2 linked regions of the Cricetulus griseus genome follow. Each later gene encodes a partner of the first gene's protein in a complex. Links are inferred from orthologs where the notes say so. Each region holds a gene or a part of one and is shown on either strand. Other genes may lie near its edges.

The links. Proteins that work in one complex are often made in the same cells at the same time.
Region 2: the proteins of Tnfsf13b (region 1) and Tnfrsf17 are in contact, whole or in part, in a crystal structure (PDB 1OQD), measured with the Homo sapiens proteins. The link is inferred for Cricetulus griseus from reciprocal best matches to the Homo sapiens genes TNFSF13B and TNFRSF17. Residues at the interface, in NP_006564.1 of Homo sapiens: Ser162, Tyr163, Lys204, Thr205, Tyr206, Ala207, Met208, Gly209, His210, Arg231, Cys232, Ile233, Glu238, Pro264, Arg265, Glu266, Asn267; in NP_001183.2 of Homo sapiens: Tyr13, Asp15, Ser16, Leu17, Leu18, His19, Ile22, Arg27, Ser29, Ser30, Asn31, Thr32, Pro33, Pro34, Leu35.

What each region holds. Positions count from the first base shown.
Region 1 is NW_023276807.1:70,512,287-70,516,037, forward strand, and holds the start of Tnfsf13b (tumor necrosis factor ligand superfamily member 13B), read right to left. Parts: upstream 2,249-3,751; 5' UTR 1-2,248. UniProt on the Homo sapiens protein: Cytokine that binds to TNFRSF13B/TACI and TNFRSF17/BCMA. TNFSF13/APRIL binds to the same 2 receptors. Together, they form a 2 ligands -2 receptors pathway involved in the stimulation of B- and T-cell function and the regulation of humoral immunity.
Region 2 is NC_048600.1:35,396,911-35,400,661, reverse strand, and holds the start of Tnfrsf17 (tumor necrosis factor receptor superfamily member 17), read left to right. Parts: upstream 1-1,333; 5' UTR 1,334-1,342; coding exon 1,343-1,457; intron 1,458-2,300; coding exon 2,301-2,459; intron 2,460-3,751. UniProt on the Homo sapiens protein: Receptor for TNFSF13B/BLyS/BAFF and TNFSF13/APRIL. Promotes B-cell survival and plays a role in the regulation of humoral immunity. Activates NF-kappa-B and JNK.

The sequences.
Region 1 (3,751 bases):
CCATAGGAAAAACCCTGTTTCAAAATCATGCATATATCTCTAACATGTTCTAACATTACCTAATTACATACAGAAATTAAATGATACAAAGGAGTGCAAGAGGAAGAGATGGCACCTTTCTCCATGTTCTTCTGTATAACTATCCAGAGGCAATTAACTCACTGGGCTAAAGGTTGTCCTTTGTCTTCTTTGCTCTATTGGGCAAAGAACATCATAGTCAAGCTCCTCAAGAGAAAGCCCAGACCGATCTGAGTTCAGATAATTTTGGAATCAAAATCCAACATTGGCTCATGCAGTGGTGTCACTGTATATCAATGGCTGCTGCTTCTTCCAACAAAGGTTACCAGGGAGGTGCTGGTGAGCAAGCACCATTGTTTCTACTACCTCCATGGAGATCACACAAAAACAGCTGTAAAGTTTGTTACATTTATAGCTATTGGATTTCTTAAGAGATGTGAAAGACACAGTTATCTCTCCACAACTTGAATGTCTGTTTGCTCAGAGGAAATGGTTTGGTGCTGATTTAATCAGAACTTCACTAAATAAAGAGTGCATTCTTATTTCTTGACTACCACAGAGCACTAGTGTATGTTTGCTTGACAGGTTATCTTCCATCCTTAGACAGTTTTTTATGTGTCTTACATATAAGGCATGTCTCTTTGGATAGTTAGGTCTTGTTCTAATGCAGTGAGTTGATATTCATCTTTTAATTGTTGTATTGAGAACATTTGCATTAGGTCATTGTTGAGAAGGGATTGCCATTTCCTGTGGGTTTGTTGGTAGTTCAGGATGGTGGGACTACTAAGGATTTCCTCCCCTCCTTTGAGTACTGGGGGTTTCCTGATTTGATGTGTTGGCCATGATGGGTCTCAGGTCTCCTTTGATTGTACATTGCTCTCATGAGTATGTTCTTTCCTGTGTTTTACTGAATGAGACTGTCTTTTTTCCTTCTCCCTGTATGGTATTCAGACAGATCTTTTCTGCAGCACTGGCTCCACTGCCGTGGGTTTTGATAAAAGGGACTGCGCTATAAAGAAGTGCAGGTTGAGTACTCAGCATTGAATAGGACTTGGGTTTCAATACCTTCTATCCAAACATCACACACATCAAGGCTTTAGGAACATCCTGAAAGGGGAAGAAAGTAGTAAAAACCAGAGGATTGGGAGGAGTGCTGTGAAATACTGTCTCCTGACCATGACACTCACAAATTCACAACACCTGTGGTTATCTGCTCAAGATCTACACAAGACCAAGCCAGCCAAAATTCTGGTATTGACTTGTTAGGTTTTCTCCAGGCTCCACCCCGTACTGAGGAGTTATTGGTTGTTTCTGCTAGAGGGAGAAACATTCTTTTGTTGCTTTGTGGCCACTGATCAGATTCTCATACTCCAATGGATGACCTACTCTAATGTATTAAGCGCTACACCTGATTGCAACTATGCTTCTATTTTCTACCATCTGATTTTCACCAGAATCAATCATACTTAGTGCTACACTCTCCTGAATTTCTGAAACGGTGTGGCAAAGCAGGCTGCATTCCTTCACAGATAATACAACCATATCACCTTGGAATTCTGTTATAACAATATAAAGTTAAGAATGGCTTTGGAAACTGTCATTATCTACTGGGACCTGAATGTGTACCTCCAAAGCTTCCTGTGGACAATCTCTTACCAGTGTAACACTAGCAGAAGATAGACTTACAGAGACATGTGTTCTGACAGTGTGAAAGGAAATGGTGAACAGAATGACCCCAGTCAATCACACAGACATGTATACACTAGGACTGCCACAGAGGGGAAAGGAACAGGAAAATATTCAGAGAAATAATGGCTGTAAACTTACCAGTGAAGTGTGGGACTGGGGCCCTCTGGAGGCATGTGGGCCACAAGAACTCCACACTCATGAATGGATCCCTGCTGATTATAAATGGGCAGGAGACTGAATTTCCACTCTTGTTTTTGTTTTACATACCTTTGTCTTTTGACACAGGACAATGCCTCCAGAGCCCCACCCCCACCCCATAGGTAAAACATCTTGACATTGGATTCCTAGCTTCTAGAACCACAAGTCAAATGAGTTTCTTTTCTTTACAGACAACCAAGCTTCTGGCATTGTGTAATAACAAAACATCAAGTATTAGGACAGACATGAAAATATCCCTGGGTTATCTAAAAAAAATGAGGATCTAGTGGAGCTGAGTAACTAGGTTTTTTATAGCTTTACTTTTTTTTTCTTTTTTGTAATTTACTTTTTACATTCCAATCCCAGTTCCCCCCTCTTTCCTTCCTTCTCCCTCCCTCCATCCGCCCTCCTCTCATCTTCTCCACAGAGAGGGTAAGGCCTCTCATAGGAAGTCTACTAAGTCTGTCCCATCATCTATTTGAGGCAGGACCAAGGCACCTCTCCACCCCACACCCCTGTGTCTAGGCTTGGTATGGTATCTCTCCATATAGAATGGATTCCACTAAGTCAGTTTGTGCATTAGTGTTAGGTCTTGGACCCACTGCCGATGACCTCATATATTGTCCCAGTCACACCATTGTCACCTATATTAAGGGTTACATTAAGGGTTAAGTACAGCTGTACTTTGTACTAGTAATCTTTTCATATCCATTGTCTTGTGTTACTTCCATGGACAAGGTGACTATTTTCTGTGATCTCGTAATTCCAATGCAGTTCACACCCATGTTCTCTGTTTCTGATTGTCTAATATTTTACATAAACACATTATTAGTCCCAAACTGAAACCACATGTGTATGTTCTCTTATCTGGCTTTTTGTATAACGGAAGGGAAGACAGGAGATGGCTGATGCATTTTACCAACCTTTTTTTTTTTTTTAAAGATTTTATTTACTTATTATGTATACAACATTCTGCTTCCATGTATATCTGCACACCAGAAGAGGGCTCCAGCTTTCATTACAGATGGTTGTGAGCCACCATGTGGTAGCTGGGAATTGAACTCAGGACCTCTGGAAGAGCAGCCGGTGCTCTTAACCTCTGAGCCATCTCTCCAGCCCCTTTACCAACCTTTCTAATTGTATAGTTCTTAATGCTGGGTTTGTACATGCATCAATCTGATGTGAATTTACTGTACATTATTTCCTGCAAATAACACCTGGCATTTCCTGAGAAGTGGGTCTAATAGCAATGTACTGGACTCTCATTTTAGGGATAATGTTCTCTTTCATTTCTGAGAGTTTTCCCAATTATACAGTTTCTCAACAGCACCTGTCTAGCACATGAGCCTTCAGTCCCCTCACCTTCTATCCACCATGGTTCCCAATGATCAGGGTGTTCTTGGTCTCATAATTAATTTGCTGCGTTCTCTTGGTGCTGTCTTAACACTTTCTCTCAGGGTTTTTACTAAATGTTTCTATGTGCTGGTCACTATGTGTTCATGTATCATAGTTCATCAATATCCTTAAATATGGATATTGATATTTTTCATCTAATTTCTTAAGTTTTCAGCCATTGCCTCTTTGGATATTTTTCTGCTACCACCTTTTCTCTGGCACTTCCATTGTGCTCAGATTGCCAACAGCTCTGAATCTCTATTCACTTTCTTCCTTTTTCTGTGCTCTTCAGATTGCATTGTCTCTACCAACTGATCTTTCTGAGATATTGTTAAAATGCGCAGTGGACATTTAGTTCAGTTCAGTTGTATATTGGAACTCTAGAATTCCTATCAGACTAATTAACAAATCCCTATCATTTTGTGATTTTTTCTATTTGATGGGAAGCTGG
Region 2 (3,751 bases), on another chromosome or scaffold:
TTGTGAACCTCCATGTAGGTGCTGGAAATCAAACCCAGGTCCTTTGGAAGAACAGCCAGTGCAACTGTTGAACCATTTCTTCAGCCCCCAGTCATGTAGTTTTATGACAAGTTTGCTACAGTGTAGTTCAGGCAGGCCTTGAATTCACTGCCCAGGTGGCTGTGACTATAGGTGCATGCCACCATGCCCAGCTTCAATTAAAAATTTATTTTTTTGCCTTTAGTCCCAGCACTTGGGAGGCAGAGGCAGGCGGATCTCTGTGAGTTTGAGACCAGCCTGATCTACAAGAGCTAGTTCCAGGACAGCCTCTAAAGCCACAGAGAAACCCTGTCTTGAAAATGCAAAAAAAAAAAAGAAAGAAAAAGAAAAAAATTTTGAGATAGGATTTTGATATGTAACCCAGGCTGGCTTTCCACTTGAGACCCTCTTGCCTCTGTCTCATAAATTGGGATTTTAGGCATGTACCCAAAGGACACTCAATCTTGAATCCTTAACCCTGACATTGCAGGATCATAAAGGATATGATGTATATTCATAAGTCATCAATCAATTCAAGTCTGTAAGCATTTTTTTTGGGAGATGGTAAAGACCCATTTCTTTTCATGGATGTATACTGGATTGATGTTTTACTGACTATTTAGTCCTGGTAGATGAGGCTGGCCTCAAACTCACAGAGATTTGCCTGCTTCTCCTCCAGAAGTCTGGAAGTAAAGGTGCACCACCATGCTCAAGTAGGATGGATTTTATTGTCATGACAGAATGCCCACAAACAATCTTCCTTTAAGCCTCTTGCTTTAATCCCAGCTGCGAAATATGACTATCAGTTGTCATATTTGACTGATTCCTCCCTCCAATTTCCCTTCAGTCAGCTGCTACGGCCCTCCAGTTACAGACTATGGTCTGCCTTCCCTATTGACTTTAAGTGTGTATGGGACACAGTCTTCATCTTGCCTGTCTCCTATCACATGGTACAGCCCACAAATAGGTGGTCCATAAATGGCTACTGCACTTTCTGCTTGATACCCTAGACTTGTCCACCTCATGCAACTGTCACCTGTGTGAGAAATTTCCTCTATAAATAGGTAGTTTCTGTTTCAGGTACGTTTGTTGTAATATACCCCTCACTGCCCCACCCAAGCCTCTTAGAAACAGAGACCCAGAGAGGTATTCAAATCCTCTGCCATAATACCTACAGCCCTCATAAGAGCCAACAAGGGCAGGGGTCATTCCTTCCCCCTCAACATCGCTGACCGCTGTCCACGGGGAACTCTTGCTGAGAATTTGTTTGTCCTCCATGCTGTTCTGTCTGCTGTTTCCATTTATTTCAGTGATCAAGTCCCACATGGCTCCGCAGTGCTTCCACAGTGAATATTTTGACAGTCTGCTGCACACTTGCAAACCTTGCCACCTTCGATGTTCCAGCCCTCCCGTACCCTGTCAGCCTTACTGTAATCCAAGTAAGTGAGACTCTTCAATAGCTGCTTCTTGTTGGGAGGCATTCTTGATAGTGCCTATTTATCTAACAGAGAAGGTGGGAGATTATTTTTGTTTCGTTTTCCTGAATCAAAACCAGAAATCAAGCAATAATTTAGATGTCTCCTGGAGCAAAGGAATTGTTCAGATCCAAATTCCATTTTATTCAGCACCAATAGTGATGGCGATTTCATCAGCTCTTAACTGAAGGACATTTAGAAATTAAAAGTCAATGTTGGTGAAGCCAGGGAGGGGGGCTTTTAAGCCTCCAGAGCAGCGGTTCTCACTCTCAACCTTCCCAATGCTGCAAGCCTTTAGTACAGTTCCTCAGGTTGTGGTGATTCCCAACCATTAAGATTGTTTTGTTGCTACTTCACAACTGTAATTTTGCTACTGTTATGAATCATAATGTCAATTATCTTATGTGACCCCTGTGAAAGGATTATTCAACAACCCCAAGGGGTGTCGAACCACTCAAATTTGAGGCTAGCCTGAACTATATAGTGAATTCCAGGGCAGCTTGGGCTACAGTGAAATCCTGTTTCAAAAAAGGAGCCAAGTTGTAGATGAGTTGGTAGAGTGCCTGGCTGGTGCACACACAGCCCTGGGCTCTGCAGCAGTATTTATAGTCATGTTGCTGCAGATCTGTAATCCCAGCACTTACATAGGAGGTGGACTCATCCATAGCCAAGGTCTACAGATGAGTTTGAGGCCAGCCTGACCTACCCCCAAAGTAAGGTGTTCATGAATATGCAATAGGGGAGTTGAGTGTTAGAAAATTCATACTTGATTTGAGTACTGATCTCTGTGATGTTCTTTTAATAAAGGTGTGACAGGTTCAACGAAAGGGGTACAAATTGTTCTTTGGACCTTCTTGGGCTTGACCTTGATTGTTTCTTTGGTACTTTTTGCGCTCACGTTCTTGCTGAGGAAGATGAATTCTGAAGCACTGAAGGACAAACTTCAAAACCCAGGTCAGTTTGATGGTGACTCTTAGAAATCTATTTCTGTAGGGGTGGCTCTTCCAAGTTTCATTTCCTTTTCTTTTTTTAACTTTGACTTTTTTTTTTTGGCTACAGCACTTTCAAATGTGTTAGTGGATAGTTGAATTTTTGAGCTGGGTGTGGTAGTACATGCCTGTCATTTTAGCACCTGGGTAGGGCAGGCAGAAGGATCCAAGGGGTTAAGGTCTAGTTCGTCCTCAGCTACATATGGAGTTTTCGATCAGCTCGGGCTACATGAGACCATGTCTCAAACAAAATATATATATAAAAAAACAACAACCACCAATGCCCTCACAAACAATCAAACAAACAAACAACAGAGAAATCTTGGCATTGACAGCTACTTTGCAGGTCTCCTTTCAATGCCCATTTCCCCCAGTTCTTCTCTTGGTAATTGCTCTTGAGGCTTGCTTGGTAAGTGTCTTTCACTGTAGTTAGAACACTGATGAGATACTCCGTTATCACACAACAATAGCCAGGTACTCTCAGGATAACTGTATTTGGCAAGATCCCTGGTCATGTTTTAAATATAATCATAAGCACTGTTTGCATGTGAACATTTTGCTGCCCCAAGTGCTAGAAATGAATAACCAGTTGCTCCTGGATTCACTAACCATCTCAAGAATAATTATTAGGCAACAGAGTACCAGTCTCAGAGAAGTTAAAGCTCCACCTGAGAGCCTCTTAGGCTAAAAATATTTTTATAGCACTGTTCCCCGTGACCTGATTTTCAAGACACACAGCAGCCATTGTCCTGCATCTTTTTTTATTACTTTTTTTCTTTTGGTGTGTGTGGTGCATGAATGTGAGTATGCACTTGCTCATCAGGTCAGAGCAGGACATCAGGTATCTTCCTCTATTGTTCTTCACCTTGTTATCATGAGATAGGGTCTCTCAGTGGATCAGAGGCATGCTGTTGCAGCTGTGTTACCTAGCTCCTATCTCTGCCATTGGGAGGTTACATGCTGAGGTTACGGGTATGTGCTTGTTACCAGAGTGTTAGAGATTTAAATTCAGATCCTCACGATTGTATGTTTTTTTTAAAGATTTTATTTATTATATATACAAAATTCTGCTTCCATGTTTATTTGCACACCAGAACTCAGGACCTCTGGAAGAGCAGTCGGTGCTCTTAACCTCTGAGCCATCTCTCCAGCCCCACGCTTGCACGTTCTTATACCCACTAAGTCATCTTCTGAGCCCTTGTCCTGCTTCTTTATGAATTTGTTTTCCATGCACACACTGCAAGCCATCTACTCCATTGCTTTCTAGTG